Linked DNA regions of Sus scrofa. The protein of the gene in region 2 binds, or shares a complex with, the protein of the main gene of each other region. Links are inferred from orthologs where the notes say so. Each region holds a gene or a part of one and is shown on either strand. Other genes may lie near its edges. The genes, in order: TMEM231, TCTN1, TMEM67, TMEM17, TMEM107 and TMEM216.

The links.
Region 1: TCTN1 (region 2) and TMEM231 share a complex: the UniProt entries of both Homo sapiens proteins name them as parts of the tectonic-like complex. The link is inferred for Sus scrofa from reciprocal best matches to the Homo sapiens genes TCTN1 and TMEM231.
Region 3: TCTN1 (region 2) and TMEM67 share a complex: the UniProt entries of both Homo sapiens proteins name them as parts of the tectonic-like complex. The link is inferred for Sus scrofa from reciprocal best matches to the Homo sapiens genes TCTN1 and TMEM67.
Region 4: TCTN1 (region 2) and TMEM17 share a complex: the UniProt entries of both Homo sapiens proteins name them as parts of the tectonic-like complex. The link is inferred for Sus scrofa from reciprocal best matches to the Homo sapiens genes TCTN1 and TMEM17.
Region 5: TCTN1 (region 2) and TMEM107 share a complex: the UniProt entries of both Homo sapiens proteins name them as parts of the tectonic-like complex. The link is inferred for Sus scrofa from reciprocal best matches to the Homo sapiens genes TCTN1 and TMEM107.
Region 6: TCTN1 (region 2) and TMEM216 share a complex: the UniProt entries of both Homo sapiens proteins name them as parts of the tectonic-like complex. The link is inferred for Sus scrofa from reciprocal best matches to the Homo sapiens genes TCTN1 and TMEM216.

What each region holds. Positions count from the first base shown.
Region 1 is NC_010448.4:12,160,024-12,164,723, reverse strand, and holds the end of TMEM231 (transmembrane protein 231), read right to left. Parts: intron 2,952-4,700; coding exon 2,846-2,951; intron 2,476-2,845; coding exon 2,295-2,475; 3' UTR 830-2,294; downstream 1-829. UniProt on the Homo sapiens protein: Transmembrane component of the tectonic-like complex, a complex localized at the transition zone of primary cilia and acting as a barrier that prevents diffusion of transmembrane proteins between the cilia and plasma membranes.
Region 2 is NC_010456.5:32,003,410-32,008,109, reverse strand, and holds part of TCTN1 (tectonic-1), read right to left. Parts: intron 3,599-4,700; coding exon 3,436-3,598; intron 1,449-3,435; coding exon 1,323-1,448; intron 1,274-1,322; exon of another isoform or gene 876-1,273; coding exon 732-875; 3' UTR 1-731. UniProt on the Homo sapiens protein: Component of the tectonic-like complex, a complex localized at the transition zone of primary cilia and acting as a barrier that prevents diffusion of transmembrane proteins between the cilia and plasma membranes.
Region 3 is NC_010446.5:42,896,167-42,900,866, forward strand, and holds part of TMEM67 (meckelin), read right to left. Parts: intron 4,521-4,700; coding exon 4,422-4,520; intron 1,742-4,421; coding exon 1,643-1,741; intron 1,096-1,642; coding exon 1,009-1,095; intron 1-1,008. UniProt on the Homo sapiens protein: Required for ciliary structure and function. Part of the tectonic-like complex which is required for tissue-specific ciliogenesis and may regulate ciliary membrane composition.
Region 4 is NC_010445.4:79,413,906-79,419,122, forward strand, and holds the start of TMEM17 (transmembrane protein 17), read left to right. Parts: upstream 1-1,861; 5' UTR 1,862-1,917; coding exon 1,918-2,017; intron 2,018-5,217. UniProt on the Homo sapiens protein: Transmembrane component of the tectonic-like complex, a complex localized at the transition zone of primary cilia and acting as a barrier that prevents diffusion of transmembrane proteins between the cilia and plasma membranes.
Region 5 is NC_010454.4:53,393,439-53,398,834, reverse strand, and holds TMEM107 (transmembrane protein 107), read left to right. Parts: upstream 1-1,770; 5' UTR 1,771-1,914; coding exon 1,915-2,001; intron 2,002-2,170; coding exon 2,171-2,238; intron 2,239-2,340; coding exon 2,341-2,441; intron 2,442-3,190; coding exon 3,191-3,287; intron 3,288-3,511; coding exon 3,512-3,581; 3' UTR 3,582-4,335; downstream 4,336-5,396. UniProt on the Homo sapiens protein: Plays a role in cilia formation and embryonic patterning. Requires for normal Sonic hedgehog (Shh) signaling in the neural tube and acts in combination with GLI2 and GLI3 to pattern ventral and intermediate neuronal cell types.
Region 6 is NC_010444.4:10,118,889-10,124,101, reverse strand, and holds the start of TMEM216 (transmembrane protein 216), read left to right. Parts: upstream 1-1,841; 5' UTR 1,842-2,464; coding exon 2,465-2,501; exon of another isoform or gene 2,502-2,515; intron 2,516-3,157; coding exon 3,158-3,259; intron 3,260-3,835; exon of another isoform or gene 3,836-3,941; intron 3,942-4,060; coding exon 4,061-4,153; intron 4,154-5,213. UniProt on the Homo sapiens protein: Part of the tectonic-like complex which is required for tissue-specific ciliogenesis and may regulate ciliary membrane composition.

The DNA.
Region 1 (4,700 bases), on a different chromosome or scaffold from region 2:
GTTTCTGCAATTACACATTTTCTCCTATAGGCATTTAGAACCTATGGGGGAAAATTTTTTTTAAGCGTGTACTTGAAGAAAAAGAAGACTTTATTAATCTTAGATGATGGGAGCTAAGTGGGACTTTATGGGCCTCACCTGATTCAAAAGAAACGGGATAATCATTTGGCAAAATTAGGGATTTCCCCTGCCAAATATTAATTGTCTCAAACCATGACTTAGCCAGCGGATAAAATCCTATATATTTCTCACCTTTGCCTCCTCTGGCACCTACAACGTGCAGATTCAGGTTCAGAGCTGGCAAGGGGGGATCTGTAAATAACTTGATATTCACTAGACGCAGCTGTAATTTTCCAGCCTGTGGTTTCCACATGCCGTGTGGATTCCACCAAAAACTCACGTTTACTTGGGGCTGGGCCAGAAGGCTGTGGCCAAAGAGCTAACAAAAGCTCCACGGTCTTTGGGCAGAGCCCTGGCAAAGCAAGCCGCTAGTGAGTAACCCGGAGAGGTGTGTCCGGCCTCTGCCCTCCCTGTCCTTCCCCTTTCCAAATGCCTGCCCTCTAAAAAGCCACATGCAGCCTTGCAGTTTGAACATTTTAATTAGAAAGTTACAAAACATCGTGGCTCTCTGTACACATTTTGCTTGAAAATAACTTAATAAAAGGCAAAGCCGTGTTTATACATATCTCTAGCTATCTTTCCTTACCTCGTTACGTTTTGGTGATTCAAACCAGAAATGATTTTTCACTTAAGTCTCAGGGAAAAAAAACTTTAGGCATAACAACAGCCCTGACTATTAAAAGAAAAGGCAGAGGGGCCAGGGTTCAGCTGTTTTTGTGCGTGAATACGTCAAAGGCGCTTTGTTTCCAAAACTCTTTATTTTGGTCAGCCTGAAAGAAGAGGTGCTTGGGAAGTAAGACCTGAGTCTCCAGGGGAAACTGAGGCATGCCATGTGCCCATGAGTGTGTGTGTGTGTGTGTGTGTGTGTGTGTGTGTGTGTGTGTGTGGATGGGCATGAAGTGTAGGTCACAGAAGCCATGTCCTTCCAGTGCCAGTGACATCTCGGTGTCACAAAGCAGGTCCAGCAGTCCTTAGGGCGAGGTCAGTTGTTCCACAGGCGACAGAGGCTGGTTCCAGTGGCCTCGTCTGCAGACACTCACTTAGTCATGAGGGTAATTTGGCTGGACTGTGTGTCACTCCGCTAAGTGGCTTGGACTCCCCGGGCTAGCATCCTTTTCGTCCCCTCCCTGCTCCTCGGGGGTCCTCCCCAAAGCGGCCCCCTCTGATGGGCGTCCTGCTGGCCCTGCAAGTAAACTCTGTGGTTGTCAGGCAGGGGGAGCCCACAGCAACAACAGCGCCTCTGTCCCCCGTGTCCTTTTCAAGAAGGGGAGGGCTGTCAAGGAGAAGGAGTGGCAAGTGTCCAGGCTGTTGGGCGAGGGCCAGAGAGAAAGAAGCTGTTGTTAGGCTCCTTACTTCCCCCACCGGGGCCAAGGGGCTTGTGAATGAACCAGCCCGGCGGACCGCAGCCCGCTATTCCAGGGGCACAGACGGAGGGCCGAGAGCCAGGCACAGCAGGGCAGGGATAAAGGGCTGTTGAGCTGGGCTGCTGACAGACGACTGTCTGTTAGGCTCAGGGCAGGTGGACGGATGGTCCTGGTGACCTCAAGTCGCCCACCCTGGCGCACGTGCACACATGTGCTCCGGAGCGCTCCCCGGTTTCGCTCCAGGGGTCCGGTTAAAGGCCTCTCAGTTCTGGAAACGAGTTCTGAATGGGAAACGTCGATGCCCAGGAGGGCAAAGTGCTGGTGATTTGCATATCTATCACCAGGGGGCCCTGGAAGGAGTAAGAACCGTGGTGGACACTGGGGGGAAAGAAATGCAGAGCGCTTTTCTCAGTTCAAGGGAGGAAAAGTCTTTGCTTGACCAGAGATGGGACTCTTTCCAAGAGGTCTGAACTGACTGGGGTTTTCTCCTGACATTCAAGTCTGAGGCAAAAAAAAAAAAAAAAAAAAAAAAAAAAAATCCAAAAACAAAAACCAAAGCAAATTACAGCCTTCAGGAACCCTCAGCCCGTTTCCACAAACTAGTCCCTGATTATTTTTGTAGGCGCTTAGAAGATATGGCATTTGTGTAGAGGATAATGAGACAGGATTGTTCTTTGTCTCCGACACGGGAAATCACAGAGGCGGGCAAGTGTCCAGGGCTTCTTTTTAGAAATTTCGTAACATGGCAGGTCTCGGGAGGCAATGGTGAGACAGCCAGGGTCCGGCTTAGAGTTTTCCGAAAGGGTCTTCTTAGGATAAGTGCTCCTTGTATGGTTCTCCCTGCGACCCTGCTGTGACAGGGACTGTGGTCACCACCTGATTTTGAAACACAAACCTCTTGATTCTTTCAAACACCCAGAGGAAGATGAGCAGGATACTGACATACTGGACCCAGGCAAACTTTATCATTTCCCAGAATCCCGGGAGATAAGTACCAACAGTTAAGGAATCACAGATGACATTTTCTAAGTAAATGTTAAACCAGAGGTTTAGTTGAGACAGAAAATGACAAAAATGTTTCAAATACCCTTAAGATAAAAGAGACAATAAAAGATTATTAAGACATAAATATGGATGCTTCTGACCTAGAAGAACTGCTCAAAAAGAAATAGGAACAGGAAATGAATTTTTTTTTTTTCTCTGTATCAACTGCAGACAAACAGAGTCATATCTGTGAGACTCCAGTGGCAGCAATTTCCAATCTGAGACTTCCCACATCTGTTCCTTTTGGGGACAACTGTGGAATCCTTCTTTTCTTTTGTGAAACCGAGCTCCTGTTGGCCCTTTACCAGAAAGGATATGAAATGACTTCCACAGGGTATCGGATGACAGCATTAATTACAAATGGAGCTTCTGCAGCCCTTCCCACCAGCCAGATGGGGTTGGGGTTGGTCAGGATGGTGGTTACTGCAATACAATCGGGACTTAGTCCATGAATGCTCTTTTAGGCAATAAAATAGTCAAGGCTATAAGAACAATCTGACCTCAGGCAAATTCTACACTGCAGAACTCATCCCCAAGAAATAACTTTTTTTGGTCTTTTTTTTTTTTTTTTTTCTTTTTCTAGGGCCACACCTGCGGCATATGGAGGTTCCCAGGCTAGGGGTCGAATCGGTGCTGTAGCCGCCGGCCTACACCACAGCCACAGTAATGCGGGATCCGAGTCGTGTCTGCAACCTACACCACAGCTCACGACAACACTGGATCCTTAACCCAGTGAGCGAGGCCAGGGATCGAACCCGCAACCTCATGGTTCCTAGTCGGATTCGTTAACCACTGAGCCATGACGGGACCTCCACCCAAGAAATAATTTGAAAGGAAAGAGAAATGGAACATGCAGAGTTGCTCACACATTATTTGTTAAAATACTTGTCAGAATACATTAAAAACTTGAAAAGTCTGTGTCTTCTACAACTGTTGAATGGCTAAGCAAAAGAATACTATACTACCACGAAAAAGAAAACCAATTAAAACTTTGTAGCCGTGTGGGGAAATATTTATATTACAAAGTACAAAAATAAGGTGGATCGTAAAGTGTCTCTAAACTATGATAAGAGCTGTATAAAAAAAAAAACCTGTGTTTGGACAAAGACTGGAAGCCATAAAGAGAAAAGTTGACTTGTAGATAAATGGGGGTTTTTTTGGCCACGCCCACAGCATGTGCAAACTCCCAGGTCAGGGATCAAACCTGCACCACAGCAGGGACAACACCAGATCTTTAACCTGCTGGGCCACCAGGGAACTTCTGTGGATAAATGTTTTTAAGGTGATCTAAAATCCCTTTATTTGGGGAATAATGCTGCTGGTGTAGTACATAAAATCAGAAGGAAATACTGGAATTGCAGTCCCCTGACTTGGTATATGTCAGTGAAGAGTATCTATGACGTCTGGCTGCCAAGCAACGCTTTAGATGCCTTTAGAGAAAACCTCAGACCACCAACCAGCCAGATGTGCTGAGCCAAGCACACAGGCTGGCCTGCGAGCTCCTCCGCTGTGAGGGATGGACCCCCTCTGCCTTCCAGCCCGAAGCCTGGGTGCTCGCTCCTACTTCAGCCGCTGCCATGTGAGTCGCTCACATGCCCTATTTCCACCTGAAAACTATGGAGAGCAGCTTGTCTTTGGCTTATTTTATACGTGTGGTGCGGGGAGCACCTCAAGGGTGGCAGAGAATTGGCAGGAACCTGCTGGAGCATGGGAGCAGTGGAGGGGAGGGATAGGGCGTGAGGGAAAAAAGGAGAAATCCTGAGTACCCTGTTCACCTCCCACGACTAAGCATTCACTGGTTTTGATTTTTTTTGTTTTTGTCTTTTTGCCTTTTCTAGGGCTGCTCCCCGCGGCATATGGAGGTTCCCAGGCTAGGGATCTAATTGGAGCTGTAGCCACCGGCCTACACCAGAGCCACAGCAACGCGGGATCTGAGCCACGTCTGCGACCTACCCCACAGCTCACGGCAATGCCGGATCCTTAACCCACGGAGCGAGGCCAGGGATTGAACCCGTAACCTCATGGTTCCGAGTCGGATTTGTTAACCACTGCGCCACGGTGGGAACTCCTGGTTTTGATATTTTCACATGACAAGGGCTCCACTTCTGTTTCTTTCCCACACCCCCATTCATCTGGAGAGTCCTTGAGAAGCAGCTGAAAAAACTCACGCCA
Region 2 (4,700 bases):
CCACCTAGTTCTGCCACCTGACAACATTTTTCTCAATTACTGTACAATTAATGTACAAAATAAACTCTCTCCTTCCCTTGGGCCCTCCTACTATATTCTTTCCAGCTTCAACTGCTTGGAACCACTCTGTGGCATCCCATTCCAGCCCACCAGCTGGAGAGCAGGCTGGCTCCAGTGCCTAGTACAGAAATGGCAATTAGACCAAGATGCCACTGTAATTAACATGACATTTGGAGGAAGATCCCCTCGTGAGACCTTGTACTCTGTTTGCACGATTTTATACAATAATTTGCTATTTTTGTACTCATTTCAACAGGACCTGAAAAGATAGAAAACCTGAACTAAAAAACAATGAATATTTTTTAAATAACTCACATTAAAGCAGGGGATGAATAAACTGGATAAACCCTCAATGCCTGCGCTACTTCAAGGTCTGATTACTTCGCTGTCTTCCCAAGGTTGCAACTTGGTCTCCACAAGTGACCTATGTGTTGAGAGCACTGGTAATGACCAAGACCAGATGGGGGCCCCTTTTAAGTTAAACCAAGTAAAATGAAATTGCCAACAGGAGAAAAGAAAGGAGGGGAGTGAGTGGCGAGGGGAAGTGTGTTGGTTTGGGGGCAACCTCAAGGGTTTTAAGTATAATAAAGTGGAGTGTCTCTGAGGGACGCTGGGTCCCCACATGCTCGAGTCTACAGGCGTGGTGTAGTTTCCTTGTTTAATGACTTACGTCAAACAAACGGGAAGAAGAAATTAAAGGGCAGCCTGGCGTTGATGGTTGGCCGAGCTCTGAAGCCTGCCTCTGCAGGTGCAGATACATCCACAAAAGTAACCGCAGTAGAAATAAGAATTGTCCTTTCATTTCCTAAGTGGGTCTGTAATAAAAAGTCAGAGTGATGCAAGCCCTGCCTTCCAGCGTGTTACCAGGATAACAAAGGTGGGACAGCTCTCATTCCCTTCCTCACCCAACTGCTGTCGGTTCATGAATCTGGTAGCCACGCAGAGGGCTCATCAGCCATTAACTCAGAGGAGACAGCTGTCATTCAGGTTGTCCTAACACATCAATATCATTCACAGCTCAATTTTCATGAGAATTGTAAATTTCAAATCTAAACAAGAATGCTAATGTGACTAAAACCACTGTGTTCAGTGGAATTTTTTTCCTCTAAAAGATAATGACTGCTAAGCTGTTTTAACAATTCAGATTGTTTAAATTTTAATTATTCTTTTTTTTTTTTTTTACAAAATAATAAATTTCATCTATCACAACTGAGTTTTGTCTGGACTCATGTCTTAACCCATACCTTTAAAGTTAGGCCTACCTCAGAAAAAGAAGATGAAATTAGATTTGCAGTTACATTGACTATTTTAGCCTGTGGGTTCAATAAGGATCCATATTTAGTCCACTTCACTTCTATAGCCAAAGCCACTGGGAGCTGGCAAGAATCCTGCAAAACAAAATGCCATTAATCAACGTATTATACAACCTCAAGTCAAACTTAATCTGCAGTTCAGAGTTTTAATTATAAAATGTTTCACATATTACAAAATGTTCTGAACAAGAGAATGAATAGACTCTAGAAGTTCAGATAAAAACAGCTTAGAGAAAGCACATATTTTAAAGTACTCAATGCTCCACCTAAAGCATAATTTTTCCATCCCTTCCTATTTCTAAAGAGGCCAGCATTTACCTGGGAGTTGTGGTAACTCTAATAGCTAAATGTGGAACCTCCAGGGCTTTAGGAGCTCTAACCTCACCTACCTGTTTACATCCACCACAGAGATACCTTAGAGGAGAAACTGGCAACAGGGGAGGGAGTGGGAAGTAGTATTATTATCAGAGAGAAATAAAACCTGACTGCATACCATGTTAAAATGCACTTAGAGAAAATTTAAGGGCTTTCTTCTCATTTATCTGATTTCACCAGTTGGCAATGAAGATGTTACATCAGGGTAAACAGACAGTGTCTTAAGTTGTCAAAGACATTAACTCTCCATCTGAACCGAGAGCACTGGCGCCACAGTGGCGCTACCCAAGTGCAGGCTGGACACTAGGAGCCAGGCCTGAGGCCTCTGCCCTAGGACCTTTGTTTGGTCTGCCCCATGGGGAAAATTGGCAAGTGGGCCTTCCAGACCTCTTTCTTGCCTTTAGTTTCTTCAGTTGGTAAACGTGATAATGTTGAAGCCGTACAGTGGGAGATGGAATTCCACTGTAGTGTTCTACTTCTGTGTAGGTAAGAAAGTTTCCCACAGTAAAAAGTTTTTAAAGATACATCTCTTTAGGGCATGAGAAGCTAGCAGGCCTGCTAAATTTGGTGCCTGCCAAAGAGGCACGGGTGAGATTCCTTGGCTTAGAACTGCCTTTGAAGAAATCTACAGGCTGAAAAATCCTTGAGAATATTATTAGGAGGAGATGCAGCTGATACGGACTGAGTCTAGCAGATACTCTCATGCCGCTCCACCCGGAAGGCTGGTACGGAACCTGCTCCCGGCCCTCTGAGCTCCCTGGACCAGCACAGACCTGGGCAGTGCTTATGTCCATCCTGCTGCCTCTCTCCGCCAACTCTGTCTTCCCTTCTGAGGGGGAGGTCATAATTGGATGTCTGAACCCATCTCTGAGAAGCCCCAAGCAGCCTGCCTGGTTCAATGGGGCAACAGAGCTGAGCCAAGACTCAGCAGCTGAACAGCAGGGACTGAGTAATCACAGGTCTCCGCTGGGCACCGGGTGGGGAGGGCGGGATCAGAGCTAGCGAGCTAGTCTTCACCCCCTTTATCCCCGAGCTATAAATACACCAAGCAGATAATGAGAGGCCTGAAGCAACTGTGACAAGCAAAAGCTGGGCAATTAAAGGATAAGATGGAGAGCACGCCTCCAGTGACGGCGGCCCACACTCTGACTGCTGAGACAAAAGAAAAAGGTGGGCAGAAGAACCACATGTGATCCGGAACCTATTTGTAGGATGTCAACTTCCATTAAACTCCTTCAGGAACTTTAGAATTGAAAGCACTCACATGTGGACTGCTTTTATAAACCAGGGAACAATGGATGGGACAGCTATGTGGATGGGGGAGTCTTGCTGAGACAATCCTGACACAGCTATCATATCACGATGTCTAAAGGAGGCCTCGTATAACGCCAACCAGGAACAGGATGGCGACTGGTCGCGGTTCCCATGTATAGACTAACCTCTAGGCACCATGAACATCACGTCATTTAACCCTCAACAAGCCCATGGGGTTGGTACCAGAGCTATCAGGTGAGGAAACAGGCTCAAACCCATCCAGCTGCTGGCCAAAGGCAACAGTGGGGCAAAATCAGGACTCAGGATCCAGGTCCATCTGACAACATTGTCCAGGCTCCTATCCAGAGCACCCCCACAACAATAGGTGCCCCCTACCCACCGGCATGTGGCCTTCCAACTTCTCCCCTTTTACCTTCACATGGGATGTCTGGGTGATGAAGTGGATGGGCACCCAGTCCAGCACATCCTGGGCCTGGGAATTTCCAAATGGGGCCACGTAATCTGGGAAGCCCTGACCCTTCAGCAGGCTCTTCACCTTCTGGGCTGCCAGCCGACATGTGATAGTTTTGGTCAGCCTTTTGGGAAGGAAAACAAGGTCAATTGAATGAGGTGATTGTTCGTTCATACCTGCAGTTTTTCTTTTTTAATTAATGTCAGTGATGAATACTGGTCTAACCAAAATAAGGATGTCGATATCCTGGGGAGATATAAGGATGGGAAGCAGTGTGTGGTGGGATAGGGATCAAAGGAGAAAGAGCCAAATCTTCACCCTCCACAGTGGGAACTCAATAAATAAGTAGAATAAAGTAGATAAACAACAAAGACCTACTGTAGGGCACAGAGAACTACAGTCACTAGTTTGATTTTTTTTTTTTTTTTTTTTTTTTTTCTTTTTAAGGCCACACACTTGGCATATGGAAGTTCCCAGGCTAGGGTTCAAATCAGAGGGACAGCTGACAGCCAAACAGCCACAGCAATACCAGATCCCAAGCCACATCTGCAACCCACATCACAGCTCATGGCAACACCAGATCCTTAAGCTACTGAGAGAGGCCAGGGATCAAATCCGCATCCTCATGGATACCAGTCGGGTTCTTAACCCTCTGAGCCACAACAGAAACTCCGATTCAGTATTTTGTAATACCCATAATGGAAAAAAAATCTGAAAGAGAATAGATATGTATGTGTGTGTGTGTATATACACACATACACACACAAGTTCACACACACACACACACATATGGATAACTGAATCATTTTTCTGTGCACCTGGAACATTGTAGATCAATTTACGTTAATAAAAAATTAAAATAAGTTATAAAACAAAAAATCAAGAAGTAGTCTCATATGTAGGCTAAAGATTTGGGGGTAAATTTTCAAAAAATCAGCTATAACAGTTGAAAGGGACTGCCTCTGGGATGGGGAAAATGAGGGTAAGAACTGCTATCTTTAGAACATGCCATCCAGAGCTGTTTGACATTTTACATTATGTTTGAAAATAAAAAAACAAATTACAAACAGAGATCACATTCAGGCTTCTTCTCATTAGGTTAGCTGTGCTGAGTATATTAAAATTCAGAAGTATAGGAAGGACTTCAGGGAAAGTATTTTTCTATGAATTCAAGTGCAAGGCCACCTTAGAAACAAAACATACAAAGCTTTGAGATTTTCACTCTG
Region 3 (4,700 bases), on a different chromosome or scaffold from region 2:
ACAGGATTTTTATACACATATTGATTCACCGTTCCTTCTTCTGTGTTTCTCTGAAATGGGGATATGAAAGGAGACACACTGCCTTCCCCTCACACAGGAATCTTGCGCAGACTCTTTCTCATGGCTTCCAAAAGCATGTTTTGTTTTCTAGATCACATAACTTCTTTATAAGTAAAGGTATTTTCAACTATAATTTGCTTACCGTAATTAATTTTTTCTATTTCTGGTATTGACAGTTCTGATTAAAAACACATTTTTCATGTATGGAATACATTTAAACTGAGGCACTGTCCTAGTTGGAGCGTTACTGATCAAACAAAGGATAAAAATCTAAGTATGGGATGATTCCTCTCTTCATGAAGCTCACAGATCAGTGGGGACAGCAGGCTCTTAACAACCACAACTGGATGAGATCCACCACAGGGGCACATTAAGGAGCTTCCCGTCCATTGACACAACAGTCAAGTAGGGAAAGGGGTTGCCATGGAAAGAGGAGGAAAGGAATATGGAAGCAGAGAGAACTAATGTGGAGAGTTGAGCACTTTGTCAGCATGGTACCTTCTACTCTCAACTAACAGATTAAATTAAATAATTAAAAAATTTTAAAGGCAGATTTTCAGAATGAGTTATTTATTATAAATAAAAGTAGACTTCCTAGTAAAATAGAATACGTGTTTTCTTCCAAAATTAGACTAAATTTTACACTAAAGGTTTTGAAAGCATTTTCATGTTAAAGACTTAAGTGTTTATTAGCAGGCCTTTTAAATTCAGGGATCTGTGCTTTGAAATTCACCTTCCAACAATGAGATCCTGCTGTATAGCACTGGGAACTATATCTAGTCACTTATGATGGAGCATGATGGAGGATAATGTGAGAAAAAGAATGTGTATATGTATGTGTGACTGGATCACTTTGCTGTATAGTAGAAAACTGACAGATCACTGTACACCAGCTATAATGGAAAAAATAAAAAAATTAAAAAAAAAAAGAAAGAAAAAGAAACTTACCTTCAGAGCAAAAGCACATCCCACGTAAGTAACAAAACGTTTTTCTTGAGCCGGCGTTGGTAGCAAAACAGAGACAGACATCTGTGCCTGTGATAAAAATTATGCCACTAAATATGATCATACAATATTTTTACTAACACTATTGATAACAAGAAAGCATAAAGGATGAAGGTGGTGATGCACTTGATAAACACAGGACACTCAGGGAATGGTGAGTTTAGCAACTTGCCTCAATACTCTTAACAGAAATACCTTCAAATAGGAGTTCCCATTGTGGCGCAGGGGAAATGAATCCAACTAGGAACCGTGAGGTTGAGGATTTGATCCCTGGCCTCGATCAGTGGGTTAAGGATCAGACGTTGCCGTGAGCTGTGGTGTAGGTCACAGATGTGGCTTGGATCTGGCGTTGCTGTGGCTCTGACGTAGGCTGGCAGTAACAGCTCCAATTAGACGCCTAGCCTGGGAACCTCCATATGCCACGGGTGTAGCCCTAAAAAGATAAAAAACAAAAGCCAAAAAAAAAAAAAAAAAAGAAAGAAAGAAATACCCCCAAATAAAAATAGTTCCTTTCTAAAAAGAGCTTAGCAGTTATTTAGGTATTGGCACTTAAGGTTAAATTCAGAAAATCACTTACTTTGAAGAAGATAAGCCAGTAAAGACCAGTTCCCAAAGTGATGGTAAAGAAAACATTGGCCAGATCACCGGCATAGTAAAACAAGAATTTCATAACGGTCTGCAATTAGAAAAGAGAATTACAGCTATAATAGACTCAATCTATTTATACTATTACCTTTAGTAACACATTATCAACCAAGTTTCTCAAGCTTGAAGCTTTGTTTCATGTATCCATGGATCAGTTAGAAAGACAACTGCAGCCACTTCCTAGTAGCCTTTAGGGTCCCAACCTTTCGATCCATTCTCAACAGCCTCTGTCTTAGTCAACCCTTCTCATCTTTCACCATCTGAAAAGTTATAAACCGCTTCCTAATTTTCTTCTAGTCTGGAACCCTTCTCCCCAATCTATCCTCCATATTATTACTACCAGAGTTGGCTCCCAAAAATATAAATTTAATTTGCATCACTCTCATTCTTAAAAACATATAGTGACTCCTCACTAAAATGTAAATTCCTGACCCAAAGGGTCCTCCACAACCTAAACCAAAATTAAAGTTTTAGCATTATCTGCCAGTTCCAACTGCTTAATCAACAACTGACCACTCCATACCTTCAAGCAAAATGTTTTGAGGATTATTATGGGCATTGTCTCATCAAATATTATTCCCTTCTTCTTTCTGGCAAACTCTAGTGAGCTCTGAGGGCAGAGAACGTGTCTCTCTTTGTTCACTATCACATCCCCAGAGCCTGGTAGAGATCCTGGCGTGCTGGGCATAGGCCATCAGAGACTATTTGTAGACTGCACAGATAACCCAGCAGAAAGTTCACTTCTCTGGGAAGCCTTTATCAAGCCCCTCTTCTCTGATTCCTTGGCACTTTAGCTCTGGAGTCAGGAAGACATCACAGTACAAATAAGTGTACTGCCTTGCCTTTATGTTCTTAATCTGCTAAATGAAAATAACCACCTCTTACTTTGTTGCTATAAATATTAAATGAGGAGTTCCTGTCATGGCTAAGCAGAAACAAATCTGACTAGTATCCACGAGGATGCAGGTTCAATCCCTGGCCTCCCTCAATAGGTTAAGGATCCGACGTTGCCATGAGCTGTGGTGCAGGTCGCTGATGTGGCTCAGATCCCAAGTTGCTATGGCTGTGGTGTAGGCAGGCAGCTAGAGCACTGATTTGACTCCCAGCCTGGGAATCTCCATATGTAGCAAGTGCAGCCCTAAAAAGAAAAAAAGAAAAAACAAAAAAAACCCCAAATATTAAAAAGGATTAGATGAGAAATGAAACCATAAAGTTAATAGAATAAAACATGGGAGAGTATCTTTTTGATCTTGAGATGGGGGAGTTTTCTTCTTCTTTTTTTTTACTTTTTAGGGCTGCACTTGAGACATATGGAGGTTCCCAGGCTAAGGGTTGAATGAGAGCTACAGCTACCAGCCACAGCCACAGCCACAGCCACAGCCACAGCAACACAGGATCTGAGCCACGTCTGTGACCTATACCACAGCTCACAGCAATGCCAGATCCTTAACCCACTGAGTGAGTCCAGGGATCAAACCCACAACCTAGTTGGATTCGTTTCCACTGCGCCATGATGGGAATTCCAAGAGGGAGTTTTCTTAACATGATCCTAAAAGCACATACCATAATATGAAAACCTAGTCAGAAGTACAATATTAAAATCAAGAGTTTCAGGAGTACCCATCATGGCGCAGTGGAAATGCAACCAGCTAGGAACCGTGAGGTTTCGGGTTCAATCCCTCACTTCGATTGGTGGGTTAAAGATCTGGCACTGCTGTAAGCTATGGTATAGGTCACAGACACGGCTCGGATCCTGCGTTGCTGTGGCTGTGATGTAGGTCAGCAGCTGTAGCTCTGATTGGATCCTTAGCCTGGGAACATCCCTATGCCATGGGTGCAGCCCTACAAAAAAAAAAAAAGAGAGAAAAAAAAAAAAGGTTAAAACTAAATAAATAAATAAAATAAAATAAAGAGTTTCTGTTAAACAAAGTAACACATACATAAAATAACAAATAAATCCCCCGTGGAGAAGAAATTTCAACATCAAAAACCAAAAGGGGATTCATATTCAGAAAATATTTAAAAACTCCTTAAAATAAGTAAAGTAAAAAAACATGTTTAAATAAACAAGAAAAACTGGAAACTTGGGAGTTCCCGTCATGGCTCAGCAGGTTAAGAACCTGGCTAGTAGCCATGAGGATGTGGGTTTGATCCCTGGCCTTGCTCAGCAGGTTGAGGTTCGGCTCAGAGCCCGTGTTGCTGTGGCTGTGGTGTAGGCCAGCAGCTGCAGCTCTGATTAGACCCTCAGCCTGGGAACTTCCTTATGCCACGGGTGTGGCCCAAAAAGCAAAAAAAAAAAAAAAAAAAAAAAAAAAAAAGAAAGAAAAACTGGAAATTTAATAGAAAAATGGGCAAGTGATATAAATAGGAAGTTCACAGAAGGAGAAACTCAAATGATTAGCAAAGCATATGAAAAGTAATCAGAGAAATGAAAATTAAATCAACAATGACATACCACCTATCCCACCAGATTGGCAAAAAATGGAAAGACTGGAAAAACCACAAGGACTGGTGAGGCTGTGAGAAAACCACAAGGATTGGTGGGTGTAGACAGGCCTACAGCAATGTGGGAGAGAAACGAACATACACCTCTCCTAATTACCACCCAGAGAAACTTGAGGCAACTTTTTACCCATTTTCTAGCTGGGTCTTCTTAGAAGAATATGAAATAGAAGATAAAAAATACACTTTAAAAATTCCTGCAGTCATACCTGTAAATCAATCATGGGACTTCCAATGCGTCTCTTCCACCCTGCTGTCTTCAAGAGAGATGACAAAACAGCTAGTCCACCCAACACACCCAAAGCAATCTAAAGGAAAAAACACTTTGGAATTTATGTGCTTTCTCTCATCAACGTTCAAAGATATTGTAAATAAAAAGTAAGGAAGTACTCAAAAAGTGGTGGTGGAAGGTATGATAAAAGGACACTGGAGCCAAATTAAAGGAACTCCCAGTGGCCAAATCTGGGACAATGTGAGCAAGAAAATAG
Region 4 (5,217 bases), on a different chromosome or scaffold from region 2:
ACATTACTGGAGGTAGTAGAAATTGGTACCACCACGTTGGAAAACTGTTGGCAAGATCTTTTAAAGTTGGGTCATACCTCATAAGCCAGCAATTTCATTCCTAGAGATAAGTTCAACAAAAATACATACATATGTTCACAAAAAGACATATATTCACCAAAAGCGGCACTATGCACAATAGCTCCAAACTAGAAAATACACAGATGCTCATCAACAGTAGATTGCACAAACTTACTGTGGTGTGGTCACACCGCAAGGAAAGAGGGCAAAAAGTCAGCTTTTATTTTTTTTTTCTTTTTTTAAAGCACTTGCTGTATGATTACTTTTATATAAAGAATAAAAATAGGCAAAACTATTCTATGGTATTAGAAGTCAGGAAAGGTTAGTTAGAAGTGGAGGGTTAGTGACTGCAAGGAAATAGGAAGGGAGAGCTTCTGAGGGTACTGGTAAAGTTAAGTTTCTTTTTTTTTTTTTCTTTTTCTTTGCTTTTTAGGGCCACACCCATGGCATATGGAGGCTCCCAGGCTAGGAGTCCAATCCGAGCTACAGCTGAAGGCCTATGCCACAGCAACACAGGATCCAAGCCGCATCTGCAACCAACACCACAGCTCAAGGCAACACCAGATCCTAAGCAAGGCCAGGAATTGAACCCGCAACCTCGTGGTTCCTAGTGGGATTTGTTTCCACTGTGCCACAACTGAAACTCCAAAGTTACATTTCTTGATCTGGGTTCTTGTTACACCTGTATATTCAGTTTGTACACTTTTCTGTACATAATTGTACCTAACCAGTTTGTCTGTTTGTTTGTTTGTCTGTCTGTCTGAAACGATACATCTTATTTGAGGGAAAGCTAGAAAAATACTAAGTGGTTAAATTTTTTTTTCTTTTTATAGCAACACCTGTGACATATGGAAGTTTCCTGGCTAGGGGTCTAATTGGAGCTGCAGCTGCAGGCCTATGCCACAGCAACTCCGGATCTCTAACCAACCAAGGCCAGGGTCCCAACCCACATCCTCACAGAGACTATGTTGGGTTCTTAAACCCCCGAGCCACAACAGGAATTCCTATTTTAAATTTTTTAAATCACCCACAATCACTATCTAGACATTACTACTAACATTTTGGATTATTTTCTTCTAGTCTTCTTTTGAAGCCACAGTGCTTGTGCCATCTTCTCCCCCTCTCTGCTCCCCATATATTTACACACACACATTTTACTAAATTAGGTTCATTCCTACTTAGTTTTACTTCTGGTTTTTTTTAATTTAAAGTTAACCCATCATTAAATATTCATTGCAAACATGCTTTTAAACTGCTTCAATGTATTTCACCCAATATATATGTGTATCGTATATATATGCTATGTATATATATATAATATTCCTAATATATAACGTATTCCTATAAGAGAGTATGTATGTGTATACATACATATGTGTCTGTATACATACGGCATGCATATATTAAAAAATATTCCTAGGATGTAATAATATCACACACACACACACACACACACACACACACACACACACACACAAGCTACTGGGTCATGAACAGTCTGTTAACTCAGCATTCATTCTATATTTTCTCCCAGAAAGATTGTATCCCACTGGCAAGGTCTTAGAGCTCCTTGTATCACAATCCAACTCTAGTCACTAATTATTATTTTTATTCCTTTTTTAAAATGGTGGCCGTTAAAGCAGGACTTAGGAATCTGCGGTTTGGCATCATGCTGAGGCGCTGGGCAGGAACTGGCTCCCTGCACTCCTCTATCTTCCAGGGCTGCCTGGCGCCTCAGCCCGCAGCGGGGCCGCGCGTGCGCCCCAGCCCCCAGCCTCGCGCGGCCCGGTTGCTGTGGGAACCTCAAAGCGCCACGGTGCCCGAAGACCCAGGTGGGAGCAGTACTGAGGCCTGAGCATGGAGCTGCCGGATCCGGTCCGCCAGCGGCTGGGAAACTTCAGCCGGACCGTGTTCAGCGACTCCAACCGGACCGGGCCGGAGTATAGCGAGGGTCCGGGTGAGTGGCCGAGGCTCAGCGCAGCGCGTGGAGCGGCCAGATTTTGCCCAGACCAAAGATGGCGGTTTCGTCTTCAGAGAGTTCACCGCAGTGCGGGAGGCTCCTTGGAGGAGGGGCTGGGCCTGGGGCTGGGGCTAGGACCAGATATTCGGGGCCAAATACCCAGGCGGTCTTCGGCTGATGGTGCTGTAGCCTCGCGGGCGAATTGCAAGAGGGGCGGCCGACGTGGCGCCAGCCTTCCTCAAAAAATACAAGAACAAAACCCGCCTTCGCATTCCGCGTCCAGTCCCGCGCCCTCCGAGAAGGCTGAGAAGGCCGACTTTGCTTTTCCTCTGCGGCATCCGCCCTGGCATATTATGTCCAGGATGGAGTGAAAACAGCCCAGGCAATCTCCCCGTCCCACCCCACCCCCAACCCCAGTAAAATATCTTTTCCTTTTTTTCTTTTCTACCAGAACAAGTATGTTCCACCACAAGTCCGTTTTCTGGCAGAAAGCATGAAAAGTTTTTGTTTTTGTTTTAATGAACTATTTTAAACGCTATCCAATTCAGAGTGGCAGCTGCCACACTAGCATCGTCTCCAACAAAACTCACCCTCTCCCTGCTTTCTTCTCCTTCCCTATATATAACTCTTGCCCTAAATCAAGTAACAGAATACCATGATGCTACATTCAACATGACAAGTGACAACGCAGTTTCCTGCAGTTTCCCCCTCTTAAATCATGATGATAGACAACATACTGTGAACCAAACCCGTGCGCTTTTTATCACTGAACTGTGCTGGGAAATAGAAATCTTTTCCTTTTGCTTGGTTTAGGGATTTTTTTTTTTTTTTTTTTTTTTTTTTTAAGGAGGCAGAGAGAAGTCTGTTCCCATAGTTTCATTTTCCACGCTGATTACTAGCCTGTCCCTCCAATTTAAGCCTCCATGATTTAGGATGTACAGAGAAAAACATAATGTGAAAAAAAAATTGACTTTTACATTTCTGATTCTAAAGCTTAACAGGCACTAAAATCTGATGATGTAAAGTATCAGGGGTTTTCTGTAAAGGGCCAGATAGTAAATATTTGAGACCTTGCAGGCCATAGATGCATGTAGCAGCCATAGATGATGGTAATTGAATGGACTTGGCAGTGTTCCAATAAAACTTTATTTATGGATGCTAAAATTTGAATTTCCTATGATTTTCAGTGTCGCAAAATATTATTCTTTGATATTTTTTCTCAGCCATTTAAAAATGTGAAAAAACCATTTTTAGCTCACTTGCTATACAAAAACAGGCAGCTGGCTGGTAGTCTGCCTACCCCTGATTTATACTATAAAATGTTTTAATTTAAATTCCATTTATAGAACTCAACTTGTACTTTTGCAAAATTTAGTAAATTCATGTCTTGTGCTTGCTTTCAAAGTTCATTTACATATTAACTTGATTTTCAACTGCATGATTATAAGTTTGATCTCTGAAATATAGACATAGCATAACTCTTAAGAGGCTTGTGTACAAAATTCTTAACATAATAACTTCTTTGCAAAATTTGACTACAGTGTTTGCTCTAAAGTTATTAAAATTTTCAGCTTAACTAATTTATCATATTTTTCCACATTTTCCTCTTTGTGGATCTGAAATAGGTTCGATTATTTGTACTGTAAATACAAGGGTATATTATGACCTTGTCCACAGCTGACCAAGAGTTGTATGGTTGTTATGAAAAAAAATCCTAGGCAGGTGAGTTATCTTCAGATTTAACAGATTTTAAGAATGCATGCCTTGATCAGTGGCAATTTAATCAATAAGTACAAGCAAAAGTAGATCATAATCACACAATGTTTAAAAAGTAGATCATAATAACGAGGGATATTCTTGGAGCTAAAGAAAACCTTGCTATGAGAGACTGTGATTATTTTACATTTTAAAATTGTTAAATGATAGATATAAAATACTCAGCTATAGAGAAAAATAAAAATATACTTTTAAGAAATTTTAGAGCCTTCAGCAGTTAACGAACCCAACTAGGGTCCATGAGGATGCGGGTTCTATCCCTGGCCTCGCTCAGTGGATTAAGGATCTAGTGTTGCCATGAGCTGTGGGGTAGGTCCCAGACTCGATCAGATCCCGAGTTGCTGTGTCTGTGGTGTAGGCCAGTGGCTATAGCTCCGATTTGATCCCTAGCATGAGAACTTCCTATGGCAGCCCTAAAAAAAAAAAAAAAAAAATTTAGTCTTTGTAAATCCATTCTTTTAGAACTGTGGATTTCAAAGTATGTTATCTGTTCTTAAATTGTTAGAATTTTTAGTCAAATTTAGGATGCATTTGTAGGGCTCATTTGTTTCTAATTTATAAAGTCTTTTTATATTTTTTCCTTTTTAAAAAAACAAAGGATAGTTGATTTAGAGTGTTGTGCCAAATTTCTGCTGTATAGCAAAGTGACCCAGTCATATATATATATATACACATATATATAAATATATATACATATATACACACACACACACACACACACACACATTCCTTTTCATATCTTCCATCATGGTCTATCCCTAGAGACCAGATATATTTCCCTGTGCAATACAGTAGGACCTCATTGCTTATCCATTAAAAATCCAATGTACTATCAGTTGTGCCACAGAGCTGCCTTGTAGGGGGGCTCAATTTTAAAAATCAAATTCTTGGAGTTTCCATTGTGGCACAGTGGAAACGAATCCCACTAGGAACTATGATGTTATGGGTTCAATCCCTGGCCTTGCTCAGTGGGTTAAGGATCTGGAGTTGTTGTGAGCTGTGATGTAGGTCACAGATGCTGCTCGGATCTGGCGTCGCTGTGGTGTAGACTGGCAGCTGCAGCTATAATCAACTTTAGATAAATGAAACTCATTCATGTATCATGAATGGCTGTACTGCTAATGTCCTTAATTCTTTCTACTTATTTGTATTTGGTCTTTACCTTGTGTAAAGCAAGATGCTATGTTCTGTGAGGGTCTCAAATTTGAGTATATTGTGGTCTGTGGTTACAGTGAGTTTGTGTATAAGTCAACAAAGAGAAGGAATTAGGAGACTAATATTTATTGAGTGCCTACTGAGGGCCAGGCAGGGTTCTATAGTGAAGTAATTTCTATTATCTTTAATCCTCACAAACAACCTGTGAGGTGATTTTAATATTACCATTTTACAGATAAAGAAATTAAGGCTCAAAGAGTCCTAAA
Region 5 (5,396 bases), on a different chromosome or scaffold from region 2:
GAGAGTATTGATAAAATTGATAAAATAAGTTGTCACACATTGAGATCTAGGGAAGACATTCTGGCTGACACATGAGTTAACCTGAATTTTATGCTAACTAAAATAGCCTCTTTGGGAGGTCCCCGTGGTGGCTCAGTGGTTAATGAACCCGACTAGTATCCATGAGGACAGTGGATACAATCCCTGGCTTCGCTCAGTGGGTTAAGGATCCAGCGTTGTCTGTGGCCTGTGGTGTCGGTTGCAGATGCGGCTCGGATCCTGTGTGGCTGTGGCGCAGCTCAGATTCAATCCTTAGCCTGGGAACTTTCATATGCCGCAGGTGCGGCCCTAAAAAGACACACACACACACACACACACACACACACACACACACACACACACACACACGAAAGCCTATTTGTGGCCTGTCAAACATTCCACATCTGCTTTAATTGTTATAGAAACAGGCACAGGAACCAGAAGAAAAGAATACCCATTGTTAAAAATAATGTGCCCTCTTCCTGGGGTGCCAGTGCTGGCACTCCCTGGATGATAAGACTCCCTTCCCAGGTGCCAAGGACATACTAACTCACTGCGTAGGTGCTGGCCTGTTCTTTTTTTTTTTTTTTCAATCTTGAAGAATTGCAGCCCCGACTTGTTTAATATTCTTTGTTCTGACAGGATATAATACAGTGCTGGAAATCATGCATCTTCTGAGCAGTTTCTAAGAGTGATATGGGAAGCAGATTCAGGGCTACTCAGTAGTTTGGCTCAAATGAAATTTTCTTCAATTCTTATTTTAGATCCTTTATTGATTATTATCATTGGCAACGGGAAGAAGAGCGATGATCCGGTAAGAGGGTAGGGAGGTCCCTGTGAGGTTGTGCATATGAGAAATGAACTCCGGCCAGAACTTTCCGTTCTGCCTGGAACCCTTTTGAGGCCCAAAGGTCAGGGAGGTCGCTGATAGTGAGAGATGCTTGGATAGTAGCTGGGCAAAGTCAAGTGCCCACGCCTCAAAGAGATAAGGAAATCCTTGCAGAGTCTGCATCGACACCCTCGCTCCTGGCCTCCCGGGGACGCAAGGTCTCATTCCCTGCCTCCACCCCCATCCCCAGCCCTTTCTGGTCCTCTTTGTTCCCTCTCTTCCCCAAACACACTTCTTGGGGCACACCCTAGTCCAAGAGAGCGGGCCACTTTCCGCGATGTGCAAATCCCTCACCAGTCTGAGCAAAGGTGTCTGGGGCGTGAGGGAGGGGGAACTAGAATCAACGAAGGTGCAGGTATGGGGTCCTCCAACGACCAGGGGCTCTGGGACAACAAGTGGCAGCCGGACAACATAGGCACATCCACCTCTCCACGTTCGGCCCAGGGCACGTGGGAGCTAAAGGAATGCGGAGGAGGGAAGGAGAGAGAGCATCCAGGCCTCAGGCACAGACAGCCGTGTCCGGAGGTTCATCCGGGACAACGCAGCAGGGGTTGGGGGTCGGGCTGCACCCGGCGTGGGCATCCGGAGAAGGGGGGGGTCCCAGGCTAGGCCCGGAGGGTTTCCGTTCGCCGGCGCTGCGCGGGCAGACTGGACGATGCAGGGCAGCGCCACCGCACACTCGGTGCTGACCGCTCGGCTGCTAGTGACCAGGCAACGGATAATCGGCCTCCCGCCGGAATCAAGTACGACGCAACCTGACTTGCAGTCCCGCGACGGCACGCAGCTGCTTGACAGTTTAATGCTCTCGCGAGATTTTCAGAGATCCGGTCGCAGCACCAGCTACCGCAGTTACCAAGGCAACTGGGCGGTGCCAGCGCGAGCGGGAAGGAGGCGAACGTCGAATTTTTGTCTGCTAGCCTAGGAGACTTGAGGACTGGCCCTCCCCGAGTTTCCAGCCCTAGAAACCCCGGCCTCTGCTCCAGGCAGTACCCCGTCCCCTGGGGGCCATGAGCCGGGTCTCGGGGCTCGTGCCCTCTCGCTTCCTGACGCTCCTGGCGCATCTGGTGGTCGTCATCACCTTATTCTGGTCCAGGGTAAGACCCACGGCCCCGCTCCGTTAGTCCACGCTCCCACCTTGGAGTGGTCCTGGCCCCACTCTACGCCTCTCCCCGGGGGCTTACCCGGTCGGGTGCTCCCCCCCCCGCCCCCACCCCGCCACCGCCGCCCCTCTCTCAACTTCTTTCTTTCTGCCCTGCTCCTCAGGACAGCAACATCCAGGCCTGCCTGCCTCTCACGTTCACCCCTGAGGAGTATGAGAAGCAGGATATTCAGTGAGCACCTGGGGCAGGGTGGTCAGAATTAAGCAGTCGTGGAAGTGAAGGGGTCTTAGAAAAAGTTCAAGAGGCCTAAGCCCACACCCTTCCTTTCTGCAGGCTGGTGGCAGCGCTTTCTGTCACCCTGGGCCTCTTTGCAGTGGAGCTGGTCGGTTTCTTCTCAGGAGTTTCCATGTTCAACAGCACCCAGAGCCTCATCTGTATCCTTTCTTCCGTGCACCTTTCCTGCACCGGCCATTTTCATCACAGCTCCTCTCCGCCACCTAACTAGGCCTTTCTGGTACATTGGTGTTTGTTCTAGTAGGCAAACAGAGTCCCTCCAGTTGAGAAATCTTCTTAGGCACTGTGGGAGATTTAATACAATCTTTGGGCATCTGTTAAGCTCCTGCTATACATCAGTCACTGGAGATCTCAAAATGGGAGTAAAACACAATTTTCTACCTTGAGGAAGAGTTAGACACAGACAGACATCTGTAATTCCGTGTGATAAGCACTGTGCCACGGGATGTGTAAAGATATGAAGCTTGTGGGGACACAGACGAGACAGAGGACGTGAGGGAGATGGATTAGGGAAGGCTTTGGTACTTGAATTGTGGTCAGGGAGGACCAGGGTGCTGGAAAGTGATTCCAGCAGAGAGTAAAAGGTCACAGAGTGCTTGGAACAGATGGGGAGGCTACTACCTCACCTGAACGGTCCAGGCTAGATATGGGGTGGGGGTTGCTTAAGGTCCCAGCTGTGCAGACTCAGCTCCTCTACTCACATGGCTGCCCTAAAACTCAGGATTCAGGGCTGCTGGCTCTGGCCTTTGCAGTGTGGTAAGAGGAGCAAGAGGTGCCCCGCTTCCTAGGATGTAAACCTGAATGTAGATGCCAGCCCCCAAACCGGCCTTTTCTGACCCATTACTACCTATTGATCCAAAGGATTTCCTTGACTCTAGTGTGTTCCAAGCCATTGGGGCTCACTGTAGTGCATCTGTGGCCCTGTCCTTTTTCATATTTGAGCGTTGGGAATGCACCACGTACTGGTACATTTTTGTCTTCTGCAGGTACGGTAGCACCCAATGTTTGGGCATGGGAAAGCAACATTAACTCTAAATCTGAAGATTTCCCTCACCCAGCTCTTTACTCCATGTATAAAATATCAGATCCACTCAACATCCTTTTTTGAAGTCCCCTCCCTCCTACATTTGGGGGTGGTATCTCTGGCTTGGGGATTTGGATTTTTTTATTGGATGAAGGGGACCCCGAAACCACCACCTATCTTCCGCAGTGCCCTCCCAGCCGTCACTGAAATAGCGTTATTCATCAGCGTCTTTGGGCTGAAAAAGAAACCTTTCTGATACCTTCATGACCGGAAGTACGGATGAAGGCTGGAAGAGCGAGGGATCGCTCACCGTTCCTGGAAGAAGGAAGTCAGAGGCTCCAGCTCTTCCTCCAAAACTGCGTCATGGAGGGTATCAGTGTAATAGTAATTATCTCTCGAGTCTGAAATTATGTGTGCTTTGCTTATAGTTCTTTGTAATAAATATATTTTTAGAATATGATCGACTTATAAAAATTTCAGATGAAAATTGGGGTGGCCAAAGTGATGGCTGTTTTCTAGGCCTGCGGACTGTAAAATAGTATATTCGCTTTTATTTTGGTTATTACGGTAGAAGTCTGGCGGGAGGGTGGGCGGGGATATGTAAATAAGGCGGTACTTACGGGTGGGACACCCGGCTGGTAAGTGAGTGGAGCATTCTGGGAGGAATTAGCTTATCCATTTTTGATAGCCAAATGGAAAAACTTATTTTAAAACATTTGGAAATAAATGTACCAAAATATACAGAAGAACCCAAGTAGGCTTAGTTGCTCGGACCAACGCAGTGTTTACTCATCCTATCTTTGAGAGGAATCTTTTTCCCAGAGTGCGGAATGTCACGCTAAACGTTCTTATCGTCAGGTAGGATAATCCTTACCTGTTCCTCCTTCGGGAGGGCAGAATGGAAAATGATGATTGGAGCTCGCATGATTCGTGATTAACGGCTCTGCGTAATCAGGACTTGCAACACCCTGATTGCTCCTATCTGATTCTTCCTGACGATCAGCGCTTTTTATCAGAGTCTTCACGGTTAGAAAGCTGTTGTTGTAGGGAAGACGTTGTACTTCCTATTTCTTGCTAGTACTTTCTTTTCAATTGTGGCTCTTGTCGCGGATGTTAGTGTAGTGCTAACTCCTCAAATCCCTTCTGCCGCGGAGCAGGCTTCCTTTTTAGTCTCAATGGCTGCAGTTTCCACCGGAAGGTTGGTCCAGGTTCTGAATCCACTCAGTAGTCTGCAGGGAACTCCCTGCTGCTGCTGCCTGGGAGGTGGTGATGACAACACGTTCAAGAGAATGCTGCTTCGCATTATATACACAGACTGCAGGAGTCTGAAGGTCGGTGTTAAAGCATGTGTATTCTCAGGGTCATGTTTAGATTCATTACTGAGTGGAATGGTGGAGCCCAGCCATCCCTGGAGATGCTTTCTGGTGATGCCTACACACAGATAATTTTATCCTAGCTCTCTGTCCCTTCTGGCAGCCTTTCATTCTTACTATCACTCAAAAAACAAAACCAAGCAAAAAACAAAAACTGAGCAATTCCTATATGCAGAGCGCTGTAGTACTGAGGGAATAAATGTGAATATGCTCGGTACTCGCCTTGGCCCTCACAGATGCATGATAGATATGGCTCATGGAGGCAGACAAGAGACAATTTCTAGTATTCTCAGAGTAATTTAATAGCGAATTATGATAAATGCTATAAAGGCGACTATGGAGGCTATGGAGTAGGGATTAATTTGCCCAAAGTGGTACAAGTGTTGCTTCTCCAGGAGCAATTTGAGTGAGGTCGTGGAGTGTGCCTGAAGCAGATGGGCAGGGGGGGTGGACATTGTGGGCCACAGTTGTAGCTTGACTAGGAAAGTCACATCCCACTGCAGTTTGGGTTTCACCAATGATGTGCTCTACCAATTTGTGAAAGATGACTTTTTGATTTTTACAAACGTTATGGACAGGTTGTTAAAATCAGCTACTATCAAAAATTATGTTGGAGTTCCTGCTGTGGCGCAGTGGGTTAAGAATCTGCAGCAGCTCAGGTTGCTGTGGAGCTGGGGGTTCCACCCCGGATCTGGCTC
Region 6 (5,213 bases), on a different chromosome or scaffold from region 2:
AAAAGCTATAGAAGCCACTCTTATTGTACACAGCTCTTTCTGTAAGCTCACCCCTGTGTGCTCTTTCACATGTACTGTGCTTTTTTTTAATTGGCCACACTTGTGGTGTGCATTGAACCTGAGCCACAGTAGTGACAGGCCAGGGATTGAACTTGAGCCACAGCAGTGACAACACTGTATCTTTAACCCACTGAGCTACCAGGGAATGCCACACATACTGTACTTTATTTTTGCTTTTTTAGGGCTACACCTGAGGCATATAAAAGTTCCCAGGCTAGGAGCTGAATCAGAGCCACAGCTGCCGACCTACGCCACAGCCACAGCAACTCAGGATCCAAGCCTTGTCTCTGACCTACACTGCAGCTCACGGTGATGCCGGATCTCCAACCCACTGAGCAAGGCTAGGAATGGAAGCACATCCTCATGGATAAAAGTCAAATTCGTTTCAGCTATGCCACAACAGGAACTCTCCATACTGTGCTTTTAATAAACTGCACCTGCTTCACGGTCTTGGTCACCTTGCTGAATTCTTCCCCCAAGGAAGATAAGAACCAAGGTCTCTCACTGCCGAACTCAAGCTCATTGTGTTACTCATAGGCCCTGGGTACCAGGGAACCAGGATGCCACAATGATGCTCCTGTGTTTGTTATTTCAATCTTATTGCCTATTTTTAGCACCGATGGGAGCTACTCCTTGCTGTCTATGACAGGAGTCAGCAAAATTTTACTTAAAGGGCCAGATTGTAAATATTTAAGCCTGTGAGCCATATAGTCCTAACAAGTGATGCAACGACTCAGCCTGAAAGCATGAAAGCCTATTACATGAAAGCAGATGTATTTCATGGATGTGGCTGTGTCCCCCCCAAAAAAACTGGAAGAAACAGGTCTTCAGATAGGTGTTTTGGGGAGAAGACTTTATGAACCCAATCCTGGCATCTCCTCATATCTAGAAAAGCGCTAAAATCCTTCATGGTGATGCCTGCTCCTCATGACTAGCGGGAAACTTCACCAAAGGAGAGTAACTTTCTGCTAAATTGTACCACCCCTTTCACCAAAATCACATATATACTGGCATTGCCCCCACTTTTTTGGAGCATTTTTTTTTCCAGAGCTATCTGAAATGCTGCCTCCCAGGCTATAGTCCTCACTTTGACGGCCCAAAAATTTAACTCACAATTCTCACATTGCGCATTTTTTAAAAGTCTACAAGTGTGACATCTTTTTCCTGTCCTACCCTTCCTGACAGTGGGCTAACCCCTATGTCACCCTGAGTCCATTCAAACCCCTTCTTCCTGTGATGGAACATGATGGAGGAAAATGTAAGAAAAAGAATGTATGTATATGTGTAACTGGGTCACTTTACTGTACAGCAGAAATTGACAGAACATTGTATCAACTACAATAAACAAAATTTTAAAAAAGCAAAAAACAACCCTTCTTCCTAGTCCCCTGCCCTGTGGGGTAACACATTTTTACTGCTCCAAATCATAACAAGTTTCAAAGCCCAGTTTACAGGCCATGTCTTGGAAACGTCTCCCAACCCCTACCGAGAGTACTTTGTCTTCTCAACTGCCACTGCACATTGGGGTCAAGTGCTGATTATATTTCATCTTTTGCTCTTATTTATGCTCCTTGAAAGGAGCCTCCAGTTCCGACTAACTTTGGTACCTTCTTCTTCTTCTTTTTATTTTTTTTATTTTGTTTGTCTTTTTAGTTTTTAGGGCCGCAGCCGTGGCACATGGATGTTCCCAGGCTGGGGGTCGAATTGAAGCTGTAGCTGCCAGTCTATGCCACAGCAACCTGGGATCCTGGCCACGTCTGCAACCTACACCACAGTTAACCACAGCGCTGGATCCTTAACCCACTGAGCAAGGCCAAGGATCCAACTTGCATCCTCATAGATACCAGTCAGGTTCCTTTCCGCTGAGCCACAAGGGAAACTCCAACTTTGGTATCTTCTAACTCCCTGGTACATAAATCAGATGCATAGAAAAACCCTACCCCCGCATCCCCTCCCCTCAGAAAAAGACTGTTTACACAAAGGATCCCCAAACTCCACGCCGCATTTGCAGCGCACTGTCGCGCACACTATTTCTCATTTTAAGACCCATGTTAGTAAAGAAACCATGGGACCAGGGCCTATTCACCAACTCTGATCACATTACCACTACTGGCTGCTTCGAACAATTCCTGGTAAATTTGGGATGGGGGCGGGGCGAAAACTGCCCCGCCCTCGGAGTCCTGCAGACGACATCATCTGCTTTCTTATCAGTCCTCTGCCAAAACCCCAGCGAAGTCGGTTCGCGGCCCGCGCTCCTCCCGGCGCAGGCGTGGCCGTCACAAGAGTGCCCCCGGCCCCAGGTAACCATCGAGTGCAGCAGGCGGATAGAAGGGCCCGAATCCAGGGCCGCTCCGTCCCTCGCTTCCGGCAACGCCTCGCTGCTCCAGGAGTGCTGTAGCCGCGTATGCAGTTTCCATGGGGACTGAAGATGGCGCCGCGAGGTGAGGTTCTGGAGGTGTGTGAGTTGCTGGTCCTGATCCCTTCAGTTTCCCCCCCCACCCCGCCCTCCTCTCCCAGCGTCGACCTGAACCCTCCATTCTCCTCACTTGTCCACAGCAGGGTTTAGCAGCCTCACCTACCCTGAGTGCCAGAAGGTCTCGAGATGTGGGTCTCAAATACCCCCAAATCCTTGGCTCAGCCTGTTCTAGGCCGGCTCAATAGGAATTTGCAGCGTGGCTTCACACTGGCCAGTGCTGTCTCTGGGTCCCAGTTTTCCTTCCTAAATAGCGACGAGGTTAGATCCCTGACTTTCACCCCCAAAGCCGAAGCGGTAGAGTTTGATGGCGATTCTGGAAAGGAGGAGATTGAAGGAAACACACACACACACTCACTCCTCATCAGCAAACAGAAGTGCCCCCAGGGACCCTTTCTGTCAGCTGAAACCCCTCCACACTCCGTACGCACACGCGCGTGCACACACACACACACACACACCACACAGACACCTTCTCATCAACAATCAGAAGTGCCGCCAGTGGCCCTTTCCACCAGCTGCGGCCTCCTGTTTCCTCCAAGTTAGACACAGAACCATTCAAATAACTGGGGTTGAGCTGCCTGCCCTCCAGCCCGTCTCTTTTCTCTGTGCTCCTATTTTCAGGTAAACGGTTATCTTCCACCCCCCTGGAAATCCTCTTCTTTCTGAACGGGTGGTATTATGCTACCTATTTCCTGCTGGAACTCTTCATATTTCTGTATAAAGGTAAGGTCTGGGGTTTAACTACCCTTTCCCCAACATCCCTTCCCCACTTCAGCCCAGAGCCAGCTCCCACCCAAAGCCTTATTTTTTCATTCTTTTCTGCTCCCCTGCAGCTCTTCTTCACTGCAAGGTCTCTTCATCAGATGGCTTCCTTGAGAATGATTCAGTAGGAAGCCACTCAGCAAGAATTTCTTGAGTTTGGGAAATGGGGGCTTCTCCCTTCTGACTCTCCCCTGTCACCTCTCTTTGCTGAACTCCACTTTAAGCCCATTGGTGACCCTCAGAAGCTATTCAGCGCCGTATATCCGTGTACATCTGATCTGATAACTGGAGAGTGGCGTCCCCACAGAATCTTTTTTTTTTTTAAGGTTTTATTGAAGTATAGTGATTGCAACTATAAATTGATTTGCAATGTTGCGATAATTTCTGCTGTACAACAGAGTGATTCATTTACACATATCCACATCTCCATTCCTTTCCAGATTCTTTTCCCATGTAGGTTATCACAGAATACTGAGTAGAGTTCCCTGTGCTATAAATAGCAGGTCCCCACTGACCACCCATCCATTCCATATGCAGTAGAGCCCCACAGACTCTTGGAGTTAGGAGTAAAAGCCCATAATTACGAGCCTGCCTCTAACAGACATAGCCGCACCATGAGTTAACGGATCCTGCCCGTATCTCAGTAAGTAGCTCATGGGAAGAGAACATGATAAGACTCATGTTCTCTTTATTCCCAAGTGAGTGGGAGACCTTGTGTGTGCTGTTCGACGTTGTTTGCAAACTCTGGCTTTTGTATCGCAGGTCTCCTGCTACCATATCCAACAGCCAATCTGGTCCTGGATGTGGTGATGCTCTTCCTTTATCTTGGCATTGAAGCAATTCGACTGTTTTTTGGTGAGTGTTGTCCAGAGGCTATTTCCATTCCTTGCGAGATGAGCTGGTATCTGTAACTTGATGAACAAAGAAAAGCACTTAACCTTGGCTCACAATGAGAGAGTGGATCTGGTGGCATATCCCGTTACACCCTCTCTGAAGTTTCAGGCGGCTTCATACTTGGGGTCAAGACTTACCTGTCTATTGCTCTGTTGCGCCACAGGTGGGTGGCGGCATGAGATATTAGATCATTCCTTCCCGATTATCTAACTACAGGAGTGCCTGGTTCCTCTCACTGGTTTCTTGGGAGAAGAGATTTCGTTGTAACTCCATGTCCAGGGCAGTAGATCAGCAATAAGGTCCCCTCCGGTTCTCTGAAAAAGGATTTCTCTAGGACAAGTTTACATCCCCGGAGGTACAGAGCAATCCCTCATGAGTTACCTCATCCCTGAAAACGGTGTTAAAACATACACTGAGGGAAAAAAATAACTTCAACAAAAAGAGGTTCACATAAAGAACTAAGAAAAAGATAACCTCGTTTTAAAAATTAGCAAGGGAGGAGTTCCCTTTGTGGCTCAGCAGGTTAAGAACCCAACTAGTATCCATGAGGATACGGGCTCAATTCCCGGCCCCGCTCAGTGGGTTAAGGATCCAGTGTTGCCGTGAGCTGTGGTGTAGGTCGCAGACATGGCTCAGATCCTGTGTGGCTGTGGCTGTGGCTGGTAGCTGCAGCTTCTCCATTTCAGCCCCTAGCCTGGGGACCTCCATATGCCGTGGGTGTGGCCCTAAAAAAAAGTGCACTGGGAGTTTCTGTTGTGGCTCAATGGCAATGTGCCTGACTAGTATCCATGAGGTTGTGGGTTCGATCCCTGCTCTTGCTCAGTGGGTTAAGGATCTGGTGTTGCCGTGAGCTGTGGTGTGGGTCGCAGACGTGGCTCAGATCCCGCATTGCTATGGCTCTGGTGTAGGCCAGAGGCTACAGCTCCCTAGCTGCGAAACTCCATATGCAGCGGGATCGGCCCAAGAAATGGCAAAAAAAAAGAAGAATCACAAAGGACCAGTAAACATTATAAAATGCCCA